Linked DNA regions of Drosophila melanogaster. The gene in region 2 interacts genetically with the main gene of each other region. Each region holds a gene or a part of one and is shown on either strand. Other genes may lie near its edges.

Region 1 (5,107 bases), about 16 Mb from region 2:
TAATTGCGCTGCTAATTTCAATTGTTCGCATTGTCGGCAAGCAATAATAATGCAAAAATTGTAATTACAAATTAACAATTGGTCGTCTGGGTCCCTCGGTGACCTAAAATTAGATTGTGTAAATTTGCAAATTAATTTGCCATTGCACAAAGAGCTCCGTGCAATTCAGCTCGGCAAAATCAGAGCACACAATATCAATTTATTTACTGTGCAATCTGTAAATAGTAGAACATGGAGTCATTAAATTGCAACTGCTAAAAAAAAAACTTGAAAATTTAGTACTGCCAGTCAAAAGTCCAAGTGAGTTGCATTTACATAAAAATAGGCTAACAAAAAAAATATCTACACAGCGTCATACAAGACCGCAAAAATATGGAAATTCAAATAGAAACAGTATCTTTTAGCAAAAAGAGAAAATCTTTAAAATAAAATCATAATAGCCGGCAAATGGAATAATCAACAGACATCAAAACGAATTCGAATTAAATTTTAAACTGCGGGAAGCTTAAAACCGATTTTGTAAACTACAACTGGGTGAAAAGTTCAATACAAATACTTTTATTTACTTTTCACCTTCATTTGTGAAAGGTGATTACCGAAAAATCATCAGCCAACTATAGCAAAACTTTCTCCCAACTTGCGGATGAAACAAAAATGATACAAATTCCTTTTTGCTTTCTTTTTTCGCTCTAAAATTATAAAATCGAAATGGGTTGTAAAAACAATCAGTTGTACAGAATTCTTTGCTTGCTTTCGATTGTTAGTAAAACCCTTGAGCACTCAGTGATATTGTAAAAATACACAAAATATTTAATTGCACAGCAAAGTATAAAAGAAGGGGGAATTATCTTTAATCCAATACTTGTTTAGCTCTGTTATGAAATATTTGAGTAATAAATCCACATAATTGATACTTTTAACAAACAAAATAAAAACGTAATATGTGAGCATTAAAAATGAAAAATGTATCAGTATTTTATTTGAATAATTGCAAGCGGAAGCAAGGAATTTAGTAAAATAAAATAATTTCGTTTTTGAATGAAGGTTACATAAATTTCTCTTAGCGATAAAAACTATTTAATGGATATTAAAGATTTAAGGACATTGTAAATAGATAAACAGAGTAAACCAAAGAGTTTAGAAATTTAATTTGAAATAAATGTGTTTAAAACATAATCGAAAATATTTATTAGAATAGTGAATAATATCTGCATTTTTATGAATGGGTTACTGTGGCGTTGAGTAAGATACATCTATAAATGGTATTTCTTATTTAATTAATGATCTTACTTTTAACTATGTATAATAAAAAAATAGTTTTAAAAATAGTTAAGGAGTTTTATTTAGTCCCCGAACAAACTCAGACCACCCACGCATTTTTCAAGTATCCACCTAGATATAAACAAAGATGTACTGGTAATCCAAAACCAAATATGATCAAAATAGCCAATAACTTTAGTCTAAGTCTGCGACTATATTAAACTGTCCATTTTCGTTCTATAATTTTTACTCAAACTAAATGTAAACTATTAAATCTGCTTTTAAAAAAAAAAAGAACCGAGAGAACAGAAATGTTCACGCCAGGCGATTGAAACATTTTACTGACCTTTTTAGTGCGAAACCAAAAGTTTAAACTAATTTTAATTGTAAACCTAGACAGTAATGATATACGATATATTATACAATGTAAATCAGAATATACGATAATTATAAAGTAAATAAAATGAAATTTAAAACAAGCAGTTCGTCTACACCGTTCAATTGGGTTAGGCATACAAAATTCTGTCAAAATTTGTGTAATTTTTCGTTTCCTTTTTTTTGTTGTATATCGTTTTGGTAAGATGATTGTGTATCCAATGGAAGAGCTCTATCCGGCTATGATGGTCATAGCCATCACATTGTTAGCCCTTCTGCAATGGGGTATTCGTGCCACAATTAAGCCCAAAATATTGGGCCCACAGAAAAACGCAATAAAAAATGGAGTAAACAACAAAAGGAGGAAAGTCCTCTCCGCCATGCAGGTAAATTGAAAAATGTTTGCAATTGTTTTTACCATCTATCTATGCTCTTTTTGCGGTGCGCACAATTAAGGTGGAAAAATGTAGATCGACTGTCAGATATTCTTACAGAAACTGAATATATTTTGCCTATCTGAGCATTAAACAACAATGACCATTAATGATTTATCAGATTTAAAGACCAGTATATATGTATAATATATAATTAATAATCTTCATATATATTATTTTTAATTACTACAACTTAGGCACAACACTAGTATTTTTAACAATCATTGCACTTAACAGATTTTTGTTTTGATTTTAAAAAGTGTATTCAATTATTTCGCAACTTTAAAACTCAATTTTTGTGGAATTTTATTTTTTGACTGCTTGGCAACTCTGACCACCAATGCGTGCCTGTGTGTGTGTTGCTTGTCAGTCTGCGTGTGTGTGTGAGTTTGCGCTGCTGGCAAACCGCAAAATGGTGACATTGTGCAAATAAAAAACAATTTACGATAAACATCAAATTTCCACAAATTACCTTATATTTTACGTGAGTTGCGAAACAGATTGTAAAACGCGAAAACACACACAAACCGAGGGAAAAGTGAAAAAAAAGAAAACCGCGATTCGCAGATTTTACACTGCAATGAACATTTTGTTTCACTGTTCACCATTGTTTGCCAAGTGTGGAATAGGGGCGAGAGGTTTGGAAACTTGGGGGCGTGGCTAAGAGAGGTGCCACTTTAAGCGTGCCGCATGCCCCCACCTGAATCTCGAATTTTGCAATTATTTTTATTGCTCGCCATTTTGCTCGTCTGATGTTTTCCACGTTTTTTTTTTTCACCCCCCAGCTGCAACCTGACGGGGGTTGGGGAATGTGTTTGGGGGCAGAATAGAGGTCGTAGGCCATTTCGAGGGCCCTTCATAAATTTCCACAGTGCGGAAGAAGGAAAAAAAATTATTCTTTATATGAGGGAAATAAATAAAAAAATGCTTGTTAAGCTGCGGCGCTGTATGTTTGCGCATAAAAAGCATACAAATTATGCAGGCACTGTAAGAGATTAAAAACTAAATAAAAATAAGTGTGAAAAATTGCTTCCTAAATATATAACGAGAAACCCTTTTCAATCTTAAATAGTATCATTGATCAAACTTTTCAATCGCACCTTTATCAACACCTCAGATTTTCAGAGCAAAAGAGATTTGCAGCCATCTTGACATTTGTCGGCCAGTATGAGGCGCCACTTTCCCACGATTTTCCATTTCGAAGAGCTCATTCCTGCCCCCTAATTGATGTCGCCAGGTGTCGTCGAACCACATAAACAGGGCTCAACGGCAAAAAAAAAAGAAATCCAGAACAGCCAGTTCACTGGCCGCATTGTGCGCCAGAGGGCCAATAATTAGGAGTGTCTTTAAGATGGGTCTAAAAAATGATAAGAGGGCTGGAAAGCAGATAGCGACATGACCAACTCAAATAGGCAGCGGGGAAACTTGGCCTAGACTGTGTTGACTTGCTGGCCAATGTAATTAGGGAGCATTAGGATTAGACCGACTGTTCCCAAGCAGCGGATAACAAAGCACTGCACAGAGAGAAGATAATTAGGTCTAATTTGTACTATTAAATATACTTCTTTAAAGGTATTAAATAAAAATTCTACTTAGCTCGTGGGAATATCAGAAATTAAATGCCAAGTAGTTGTTAGAAAAATATTGAATAATCCTGAGAAACATACTTCTGATTTTCAGTGCAAACGCAATAAGCCAACTAAAACTTGGCCAACGGCAAGTTGGAGAGAAGGAGCAGAAAATGTGGTAAACTTTTTGCTGTTTTGGCGTAAACAAAAATAAATCAATTTCTTGGTGCGCACAATTGTTAAGATAGTAGATAGGACAGAGTCCATAACGACAGGACCGAACAACAGGATAAGTCCGCAGAGTCATGTCAATGGCCGGCGGCTTTCGAGAAATGGAAATTTCGAAAGACGCCAGGCATTTTTCCTTAGATTCTTTTGCAAATATTCCAAATTCAACGGAAAGTGGAATAATATTTGCACGACTTGCGTATGTAAAGCCACTTATACCTGGGACCATGCTGATTGCATTTGGAAGTATTTTCAGGTGCCTGTGGCAAATTTAAATATTCAAGTGACCTTTAAGAAGAAGTTTTTATAAACAAAAACAATTTAAACATTTCTTCTTGGCACAACTCATATACAGAGTTCCGTGGATTTCCGTGGCATCGCCGATAATTATTTCTTGAAACATGCTAGAATTCAATTTCTAAAACTCCAATCAAATTACCAATATACACGTCTCGAACAGAAACCTAATTTGAATGCCAGCGAAGCGGGTGAAATGTAGTTAACTTTCAGTCGATTTAGTTTGGTTTCGAGCTCCCTTCAATAACCCTTGTTCTAAGCTCCAAGTCCCCCATACCGTCACCATTAGTTCTTATTCCCCGGGTTCTTGTCGCTATTTCTGCTGTTCCTGCTGTTGCATCGCATTCTCATTGACAAGTTTAATTGATGGGCGTCAGCGTCAGCTTTTGGCTTCAGCTCGACGGAGTTTGGGGAAAAGGCCATGGCCAAGACACCATCCCGCATACCCCACTTTGCCCATCACACTCTGACCCCCGTTGTACAGTACACCCTCGATTACCGGAATGGCGACGCGACAAAACCGCAGAATCTAATTTGGCACAAACCACCAAAGCAATTAAAGTTGCAGCTCTGCAAACGGTGTCCGATGCGAATGTTCCCCAACTGTCTATCTGTCTCTGTCTTTCCCTCGGCGCGTTTGTGTGTGTGTGTGTGTGTGTGTGTGTGCGAAGGTATCGGTGTGGGTGAGTCCCTGTGTCGGTGAGGTGTCACTGCTATATGAATCGCGATAGCAATCCAGAAAATATCACACTTTTGACCATTATGCGGCTTAAAAATGAAAACTCAACAGAATCAGTAACTAAAGATTGTTTTATGAATAAATACTTTTAGAATTGTTCTTTGAAACTTGTTCTGATTTTTGTATCTTTAACCACGCACCACACTCACCGTTTTCAAAATGGTTTTTCACAGTTGAAATTAACTAGAGGCAAATAAAAATTAGAC
Region 2 (5,287 bases):
AAATGGGTCCCTGATAAGTTAGTAATTTTGTTGCAGCGGAAACCGCATCGACAACATTAATATAATATTTGGGCGGTTGAGGCTATGGCGTATAACGCAGCCCGCCGCTTTACTTCGCACCACGAAGTTGTTGATTGATGGCTGCAAGGCGCTCTTTGTAGCGCTGCCGGTCTTCCTCATTAGTTGCCGTCTTCAGTAGTTCGATGTTGAGCCTCCGGGCGCTGAGCAACTTAATCCGGCGGCCACCCCTCTTCTTTTTAGGTGGCTGCTCCCTCGCTGCAGTCCGTGCCTTGTACTCTTGTATGGTCAAGGGCTTTGGTCCCGCGGACGGATCTACCTCTATTACCTCTTTGATACTTGGCAGATCCCTTTGCTCGACAGGAGCAGGGTGTTCGAACGTCTGCTTGGTAGACATTCGCTGTTGTCATGTGCGGCGCGCCGGTGGAATCCTTTATCCTTTATCCTAATCCTACCCTCGCAGGATGCCGTGCTAATTGCTGTTGCGGCTTACAATGGTCGAGGGCAGTCGTTCATGCAGACGTCGGGTCTTTTCGGCTTGGGTGATGTTGAATTTTCAGTTATTTCTTCATTGATTATTTCTATTTTTGCTGAGTGAGTTGTGGTATTCGGCTTTCTTTGCTGGAGGTTTTCTTTCAGAAAGTCTAATTCGGCAGTTAATTTCGGTGCCGTTGCCCATGGGGGCGGTGTTTTATTTGTATATCATAGCCACTTAATATGTGCTATACCTTTATTTTTGATTTCCTGACATCCGCGTTTGCCCATTACCACACTCTACTCACTCAGTATTTTTGTTTCTTTTTTTTTTCATCAGTGTCCCGTCTCTAGGTCTCCCGCACTGGTGTAAGGGGCGGCCTGCCTCTCACACCTGTTGTCGCTGTTTAGAATTCCCAAATCAAATCGGCAATATTAGCAGCATTTCCTCAGTAGTCCTCAGATCGCAGGCTCCTGCCTCACGGTCGCCATGTAATAAACCAATATATGCCACCAATTGAGAACACGTGTTTTCCTTGCAGTTGGGTGCAGCCGTCAGGCCACCTTTTTATTTCTTCTTATCTCTTCGAGTAGCAGAAACGGTTCTGCCCGCTTAACCTCTACAGAGTGTCTAATCTTACCTAAATACTGCGACTGCGCCGCCGTCGACAGCGGCAGAAGAGCAGCGTATATATATATGTATAAGAGAGAGAGAGAGAGAGCTTATGCGCATATATGGCCAGCGGCCAGCGTGGGGATGCTGACTTAGCTTAAAGCATAAATGGGTGATCTTATATCACGCTCACTTGAGACATTTATTTATGCAATGCAACTAAGTGTTGCTGTGTACTTATAGGTACAGTGTACCCTCGATATATGCACATACTACAATATATTCTTGTAATCAATGTTTATATTATGTAAATCAGCTGTCGCTCCCCAAAAATTCCTTAATTCCAATTAGAAGACAACGAAAAAATTTCTCTTTATTTACGAATAAAAATTGTCCCTCAACTCCAATTGGAACGGCTGATCCGTCAACATTTTAGTCGGCAACACTTTAGTCTGCAACATTTGGGAATGTTGCATCATCTTGTTGCTATGCATGTTTCCACGGAAAAAGAGAGTATATCATAACAAGAGACCATTCACTTTTTTCGTTTTGAAGCAACAAATTTGAAAAGAGAAAACTTTATGTTTTTCCCGCGGGCTTGTTTGTTTTTTTTTTCTCGCTCTCCGTCGAATTGACTCTACATTTTGATGTGATCTTATTATTAGGTGAATCAGCTGTCTTCAAAAGAACAGTTTTAATTAAAAAAAAAATCCCTCAATTCCAATTCAAATTTCATTTAGAACACAACGAAGATATTTCTCTTCTTGTACGAACAAAATGCTCTCTTAACTCAAGTTGGAACGGCCGTTCCGGCAACATTTAAGTTGGTAACATTGTTGCATGCTGCATGCATTTGAGCACAAGAGTGTCATTTACGATTAGCAACTCGCGGCGAACGGACGTGTGTAAAAAATAGCCGGTGAGAAAAAACGAAGTGCGATTGCCGAAGAAAAACAGAGAGATTTCAAATAATAAAGAAATGCAAATGAAACAGAAGAAAATAAAAATAAAGCAAAGTGCGTGATTTCCATCTCCTCAGTGTTGTGAAATTTCTAGCAGAGTCTAACGGCGATTTGCGAATGCCGACTTAAGAAGTGCGAAAACAAAAACGTGACGCCAGTTTAAAATATTCTCAAGCGAAAATCATGTGTTTTTTGTTATACCCTGTGCTTTGTGTTTAATGTAGCTGACGACAAACAAAATATTAGAATCGTGTACGTCGGGAATCCGAATTCCATCCCCTCGTGTTGTGTTATTATTGTATTAAAGTTTCCTTTGCCATTTACCACACACAACACAGAAAAACAACAACAACAAAACTAAACCAAAATCGAACCAAAAACAAACCGCGAATTTTGCAGGTTAGCCCACCCGAAAGAGGCAAAAAAATCAATTATATGTTGGCCAGTGCCGGGTTTGCAGTGGAATCGGGTTGAAAGCCATCGATAGCCACACACGCCCACACACATAATGACGGAGCACCAGGCCGAGGAGCAGGCGGACACGCCGCCCACCAAGGTCAAGGCCACGCCCACACCCACCCCGAGTGGAAAGTTCAAGGACGCGAAGGAAGACGCCTTCCTGTCCACATCGCCGGACAGCGCCAACGGCGATGCCCAACACAAGCTGCCAGCGGACCAGCTGGCCATGTCCTCCAGTGCGCATCCCCAGCAGGCGGGCCAAGCCCGCCCGCTCATCCTGCAAGCCTTCCACCGCTGCTCCTCGCCAGAACAGTGCGTCACGCTGCACGACATCCTGGACTCCTTTAAGGCGCCGCTCTCCGAGGACCAGGCCTGGGCCCTGATCCACCAGTTCGCCGGGCTCTACCACCAGGTGGCCGTACAAGCGCACACCTGTGCCGCGGACTACGAGGCCGCCCTGCCCACCGGATTCGAGCTGCACTTCCATCGCGACGGCAGCGTCCACTTCTCCGGCCCGGATCAGCTGACGCCTAAGGAGCAACTGCAGCAGGAGCAGATCCCCCTCCCCCCGCAGCACGACGTGATTGTGGATCAGCCGGACCACAGCGCCAGCAGCAGCGGCGACAGCAGCGTCATCAACAGAGGTAAGCAGACCGACCTACTGAAAAATCAATATGCATACATATTTCTCACGGCTACAGTTAGCGGAAATTAATATTCCTGCAGTTTATGCCAGTTGTTTAATTAACGGAAATTAACTTAGTATGAATCTTCTATTCCTTGAATTTTTAATTTATTATTTTTTAAATCATGCTGAAAATATTTGAACTAAAATTGATCTATAGTCATAGTTATTAATGTTATAACATTTATTTATTAACGTGCTGCACACAACTGGCAATCTTTAGAATCTATATAGAAGTGGAAATGTTCAATACAACATTGATCAACTAACAATTTGGATTGATAACCTAATGAACCTGCCAACCCCAAATGACATTTTAATGTCGTTTTTCCTTACAATTATAGTAACATGTTTTAATCACAAATAATTTATTGTACATTGCACGCAAATGCAATTTGACTACCTTTAAGCTAGCAACCCGTGTATATTCTTTCGACTTTGTGTTAAGTTCTGTATCCTTTGAGCAATATTTCCTATTATTTTTTATGAGTCTTCCTAAAGATATATATATAGTTTATGTGTATTTCGGCCCGTCAGAGGTCAGTTGGGTGTTGACTTCAGATGCGGAACTGTAACAGTGATGAAAACTGGGGCTGTGATTAGCTGGGCCGGAAAACCGGTTGCGCTGATGCCTCTCCGAATGCTGAGGGGTCTTTGTCTTTTCGGCAAACGCTTTCATTTTCAGTTAATAAGCCACAGTTAACTTCTTTCTCTCGGCCTTTTATTTTCGGACATCTGCCGTGATGTGGGTTTCCGTGTGCCATCCATCTGACTATTGGCATCGCCCGGCCATCGCCAGCGGAGTCCCCAGCGCTTTCCAAACAAACAACCCACACTATCCGCCATCCGATGATGACCTCTGCATTTAAGTTATGCAGCCAGCCAGCTTTGATTGGGGTTTTCCCCACTTCTGCCTTCTGTCTGATTGCGTGCTGGCTTGGGAAAGTGTAAACGGCGACTCCCATGAAGAAGGTACCATCCCAGTACCCTATCAGCAGTGTTTTTCACTTTCTTTTGTAGCTCGGAGAGCACAAGTATCACTGGAAGAAAGGCAGGTCATGTTCGGATTGGGCAGAAGATTGAACGCTTTTCCTTGCCGCAATACAATCGAATCCAAATCTACGAAAGTAGATTTTTTCCAGTGTAACGATCACAGCCTTTCCTTTCGGCATTCCCCCTGCATTCGCTGTAATTGATGGGGGGATACTTTTTCGCCTCTCGATCTCTGAATCTACAGAACGTGTCTGAGTCTGTCTCGCAGCTAATTGTTTAATCATTCGTCTGCGCGGGGACTGTCAAAATACAGGTCGGTAATCTATCGACTTTTAGATAAGCCACGTTAATTGGAAAATGCGTTTCTGAGTGGGTAGTGATGGGAATCTTGGATTTCGTTCTCCTAGGTGGCCCTTAATGTGACTCAGCTCAGCTTTTGGTCTGCAGCATTAACTGCATTCCATTGCATCTTTCTTCGTATGGGCCTGTCTATCTCTATTTGGCCAGGCCAACTCTGCCTATAGCCGGCTTTTGTATCAGCGTGGCCAATTAGTTAGCTCTTATAGACAATTAGCCAGTTACATGGGTAATCTTAAGGGCACGCAGATACAGGAAGTTACAGTATTAATTGAACTGTGTAACTCGGAGGTGAAGGAACTATAGATGGCTGATAATGCTGTAGGAAGTCCTAGGGGATTTTAAAACCCATTTCAGTATACTACTTAAAATTCAGAAATTTTCTTTTATAAATAACTTAAAAAATGTTCTTAGCTCTTAAACCTCTGTAATTAAAGGTCTGTGATCGTCAATTTCTTATCTAAATTCACACGTAACCTTTGTTTATGCTTATCATCAGAACTTTCCTCGGGCCAAACAGAGATCACCTTGTAACACCTTAATTGCCGCTAATTCAGCCGCTAAAATCCAAGCCATTAGGTGAGATATCGAAAGGTTTTGGCCCGGGAACCTCGAGAACCGCCAGCGGGGGCAATTAGTCTGCTCAAACAAGTTATTACAGATGGGAGACGGACCAGACGGGTGGATGCCATCAGATTCAGCACCTTCTAATGGCTTTCGGTCGGC
Region 3 (5,553 bases), on a different chromosome or scaffold from region 2:
TTAACATCATTAATATTACTGTGAGTCCTGCACATCATTGGATCAGCGAATAATGAAAACCCTTTTTCGTAAAATTTCCATTTTTATTATAAGAGAGTTTGGGAAAATCAAATGCAAATATGTTTATGGGAAAATATTACCTCTATGAAACCAAAGGATGGTTTCGTAACCTTATATACATACATATTATGTACATGAACTATATAAATTGACAAAGGTTGTGAAGCATAAATATAAATTAAAAAGTAATGCTTGAGTATTAATATTCTATTGATTTCCAAACGATTTCCCTTGTCCTATGGCTCCCTACATTGTCTTTCTACATTATAATTCTTTTGCACAGCTGTGTGTGGCTGACCCACCCAGAATTTCATGCTTGTCTGCTTTAACCTAGAATTATCACCTCCCAGTTGCTAGAATCTTCCGGTCATTGTTTGCCATCAAAGGAACAACCAGCTGATTTCAGTTGGCAGTTGTGACAAACTCACTGGAGAAAAGAAGTGAAAAAATGACAGGATGCACAGGCAGCTACCGCAGGATCAGCAGGATATCATGAGGGGGTTCTCTATACAGATTATAGATGGCCGATTGCCCAACTGCCTAGCGATATCACATGAAAAATCAATTTTCCCGACGCATTTCCATTTTCCATGCAATTCATTTAGCCTCAATTCCATTCAACTCATTGCGCAGGCGCAACTCGCCCATTTCCGACGCATTTTCCTTTAATTATGCGGGCATCGGATTTCGTATCAAATTAACGAATTATGCTGGCTGCCAGCTGTGTTGGAGCTAACGGATGAGGCAGTCCATCCAGCCATCAGCTCATATCCTTGTACTCGTAGTCTCGCAATTCTCGAAAGCAATCGCATTTACTTGTAGTCCTCGAAGGAAAGGAGAAGCCCAGGCAGATGTGAGTGAGTGTGTCTCTGTTCGTCGGCAACGGCACATTTCCCATATGTACTTAAGCCGGGGAATGCGGAACCCCGTCGTCCTATCTCCACCCCTACCCATCTTGCTACCCCCACTCCGGTCTCGAACCCTCCTCGTGCTGTCTTGAACTACAATTGCAACATTTGCGCGCGCTAAAATGAAAACATTTCCTTTATATACACGAGGCCGACGTCTTGACAAACACACAGATAAGACGAACAGGGGATCAAGAACTGTGGCACGAACTACCACCAAATAAAAAAAAAATTAGGAGTCGTATAACTCGGCTTACCTGAATTCTAGATACTCTTAAAAGAGGACATTATAGAAAATATATAATATTATATGTTTAATTTAAATTGAAAAGTGGTTAAGATCAGAAGAATTATGCCGTCTGCAAATGACTTGTCTAATATTAAATTAACATTAGAATGTTTAAGGAATATGAAATTTTTGTTCAGCTAATATCTAAAAAATCCAAAATTGTCGTGATATTATTTTCTATGTCCACTAATTATTATATTCAATGTTAATGTTATTAGATTAAAATGAAAGTCCTACGAAATGAAAACCATAAACCATTTTTCGTTTGAAGATCTCGGAAATACCCAACCTGAAATGTTGGGTATATCCCACATAGGTGAAGCAATGCAGGATCGTTGAAGCGACCCCTGCTCGAGCGAGGGTTGTTTTCTTTGCCTCCCCTGGGTCTATCTCGTTTCCACACTCTATCCATCCCTTTTCCACTCGCTGTGCCAGCTGGAGGCTATGTCTGCCTCAGGGATCTTGGACAGAAGGTGAGCTCAGTTAGGTTTTGACAGCGGAACGCGTAGGTACAGTGAAACGGGTAGCAACGGGATAGCGGGTTTAGTGTAGCACAGAACGGACCACAAAGTACAGATGAATTAAATACGACTACAGACTACTACCATATTGTTAAACAGTTTACCTAAAAATCCTAAGGAAAAGATAACCAAATTAAACCGAAAGTTAAAGTTGTGTTTATGTTTGATCGTTGAGTTATTGTTATATCGAAAGTTAAACGAGCGTTGTTAATGAGACATTGATACAAAATCCGAAAAGAATCGTTACCAAGTTAAACCGAAAGTCCAAAAAACAAATTCGAAAATGTCTTTCTCCAAGGCCAAGTTGAAGCGTTTCAACGACGTGGATGTGGCCATCTGCGGTTCGCCAGCTGCGTCCAACAGCTCGGCGGGATCGGCGGGCAGTGCCACGCCCACCGCGTCTTCGGCAGCCGCTGCTCCGCCAACCGTTCAACCGGAACGCAAGGAGCAGATCGAGAAGTTCTTCAAGGACGCCGTGCGTTTCGCGTCCAGCTCGAAGGAGGCCAAGGAATTTGCCATTCCCAAGGAGGACAAAAAGTCAAAGGGATTACGTCTGTTCCGTACTCCTTCGTTGCCGCAGCGCCTACGCTTCCGTCCGACTCCCAGTCACACGGATACGGCCACCGGAAGCGGAAGTGGCGCCTCAACAGCGGCATCCACTCCTCTGCATTCGGCAGCCACCACGCCCGTAAAGGAGGCCAAGTCAGCCAGCCGTCTGAAGGGCAAGGAGGCACTCCAGTACGAAATCCGTCACAAAAACGAACTGATCGAGAGCCAGTTGAGCCAACTGGACGTGCTGCGCCGCCATGTGGATCAGTTGAAGGAAGCCGAGGCCAAGTTGCGCGAGGAGCATGAGTTGGCTACCTCCAAGACAGATCGGCTCATCGAAGCCCTGACCAGTGAGAATTTATCGCACAAAGCTCTGAACGAGCAGATGGGCCAGGAGCACGCTGATCTTTTGGAGCGTTTGGCCGCCATGGAGCAGCAGTTGCAGCAACAGCACGACGAGCATGAAAGGCAAGTGGAGGCGTTGGTTGCCGAGAGCGAGGCACTGCGTCTGGCCAACGAGCTGCTGCAGACAGCGAATGAGGATCGTCAAAAGGTGGAGGAGCAGCTGCAGGCACAACTCTCTGCTCTTCAGGCGGATGTGGCTCAGGCCCGCGAGCACTGCAGCCTGGAGCAGGCAAAGACCGCCGAGAACATTGAGCTGGTAGAGAATCTCCAGAAGACCAATGCCTCCCTGCTGGCCGACGTGGTCCAGCTGAAGCAGCAGATCGAACAGGATGCCCTGTCCTACGGACAGGAGGCCAAGAGCTGCCAGGCGGAACTGGAGTGTCTGAAGGTGGAGCGCAACACCCTGAAGAATGACTTGGCCAACAAGTGCACTCTGATCCGCTCGCTGCAAGACGAGCTTCTCGACAAGAACTGCGAGATCGATGCTCACTGCGATACCATTCGCCAGCTGTGCCGGGAACAGGCTCGCCACACCGAGCAGCAGCAGGCGGTGGCCAAGGTGCAGCAGCAGGTTGAGAGCGACCTAGAGAGCGCGGTGGAGCGCGAGAAGAGCTACTGGCGCGCCGAGCTGGACAAGCGCCAGAAGCTGGCCGAGAACGAGCTGATCAAGATCGAGCTGGAGAAGCAGGACGTGATGGTGCTGCTGGAGACCACCAATGATATGCTGCGCATGCGCGACGAGAAGCTGCAGAAATGCGAAGAGCAGTTGCGCAACGGCATCGACTACTACATCCAGCTGAGCGACGCACTGCAGCAGCAGCTGGTGCAGCTGAAGCAGGACATGGCCAAGACGATCACCGAGAAGTACAACTACCAGCTGACTTTGACCAACACCCGGGCCACCGTCAACATTCTGATGGAGCGTCTAAAGAAGTCCGATGCGGATGTGGAGCAGTACCGAGCGGAGCTGGAATCGGTGCAGTTGGCCAAGGGAGCGCTGGAGCAGAGCTATCTGGTGTTGCAGGCGGACGCAGAGCAACTGCGCCAGCAATTGACCGAGAGCCAGGATGCGCTCAACGCACTGAGATCCTCCTCCCAGACGCTGCAGAGCGAGGTATCGTTGAAGGAGTCCTTGCTCCACGAGCTGCTAGCCGGCGAGGCGGAGACGTTGGCTAAATTCAATCAGATTGCAAACTCGTTCCAGGAGCGCATCGATGGCGACGCCCAGTTGGCCCACTACCACGAGCTGCGCCGCAAGGACGAGACGCGCGAGGCCTACATGGTGGACATGAAGAAGGCGCTCGATGAATTCGCCACCGTGCTGCAGTTCGCCCAATTGGAGCTGGACAACAAGGAGCAGATGCTTGTTAAGGTGCGCGAGGAGTGCGAACAGCTCAAGCTGGAGAACATTGCCCTCAAGTCCAAGCAACCGGGATCCGCCTCTCTGCTGGGAACACCTGGCAAGGCCAACCGCTCCAATACCACCGATCTGGAGAAGATCGAGGATCTGCTGTGCGACTCGGAGCTGCGATCCGACTGCGAGAAGATCACCACGTGGCTGCTCAACTCCTCGGACAAGTGCGTGCGCCAGGATACCACCAGCGAGATCAACGAGCTCCTGTCCGCCGGCAAGTCCTCGCCCCGTCCCGCCCCCCGCACACCCAAGGCGCCGCACACCCCGCGCAGTCCGCGCACCCCCCACACCCCACGAACACCACGATCGGCGGCCAGCACTCCCAAGAAGACTGTCCTGTTCGCCGGCAAGGAGAACGTGCCCAGTCCGCCACAGAAGCAGGTGCTCAAGGCGCGCAACATCTAGGCTATTCCTTTGTAACAACTACTCTATCGTACTATTATAAATTATATACCTTAGCTAAGATCCGATTCGAAATATAATCAATACACGTTGCACACAACACAGCCAGAGGTGTTTCTGAAATCTCTTTCGAGCACTCTCCGACTAAATTCCAAATCTGATTGTTTTCTATCTTTCGCGTTTGTGTTCTGGAAATATGGGACTTACCTAATCTCATAAAAAATATCATTTTGATGCAATGCATTTTAAGGCATGAGAAATCAAATAAAAAATCTGAAAAAGGTGTCTTGGAAAGTGAGACCTTCTTTAAAGCTATTTAAATTAAATAGACTCATCTTTGAATGTAACGAAAATAATGAGAATGCATCAATTATTTTTTCCATTTATTAGCCAATTTATTCATATAAGGTCAAATTATCTGTAAAAAAAAAAAAGAAATAAAAGGTATTCTGATCTAAAATGTAGAAGTGTACAGTATCATCACCTTGAACTTCGTTCTTAAAATACGTTATATCTTGTATATGCATTTAAAAAAGCCTGTACCTAAAGAATCAGGAAATTGTTTACGTTTTTCATACCAACCCCGTGCAACTCGTTTTTGATTTCGATGTGGTGGAATTTTCTCATGCTGAAACTCCTCGTTGAAGAATGAGAAGGAAGGGGTGTGGGCTGCCATGCAATCCGATGGATTCTTGCGACGCTGATTACGCACACGTGTCCCTTGGCACCGCCTTATCCCCGATGGTTACTCGATGGGAACGGTTCCAGAGTTGCGCAGTTCCTTAGTTCCTCGAGCGAATCGGAACAGCTGCGCCTGCGCTTCCTCCTCAAGGGTGGCTTAACTCAACCGTCTTTTAAGAAGGGGCCGAAAACGAAGGGAAATGCCCATGCACCACCAACCACTGGTAGTTGCAAGCTCGCTTCATTAACTGTGACTTAAGCCTGTTGACGGGGTTTTCCCTCACCTTTCTTTGTTTTTCCGCTCCTTTTCCTTCCCCGTAAAAA

Evidence for each region.
Region 1: of spir (region 2) and capu, changing one suppresses a phenotype caused by changing the other (phenotypic suppression), as found in Drosophila melanogaster (one study listed by BioGRID).
Region 3: of spir (region 2) and mira, changing one suppresses a phenotype caused by changing the other (phenotypic suppression), as found in Drosophila melanogaster (one study listed by BioGRID).

What each region holds. Positions count from the first base shown.
Region 1 is NT_033779.5:3,899,509-3,904,615, reverse strand, and holds the start of capu (cappuccino), read left to right. Parts: upstream 1-1,755; 5' UTR 1,756-2,021; intron 2,022-5,107. UniProt on the Drosophila melanogaster protein: Acts as an actin nucleation factor and promotes assembly of actin filaments together with spir. May play a role in intracellular vesicle transport along actin fibers, providing a novel link between actin cytoskeleton dynamics and intracellular transport.
Region 2 is NT_033779.5:20,309,245-20,314,531, forward strand, and holds the start of spir (spire), read left to right. Parts: upstream 1-1,974; 5' UTR 1,975-2,575; coding exon 2,576-3,170; intron 3,171-5,287.
Region 3 is NT_033777.3:19,931,182-19,936,734, reverse strand, and holds mira (miranda), read left to right. Parts: upstream 1-1,736; 5' UTR 1,737-2,061; coding exon 2,062-4,551; 3' UTR 4,552-4,701; downstream 4,702-5,553.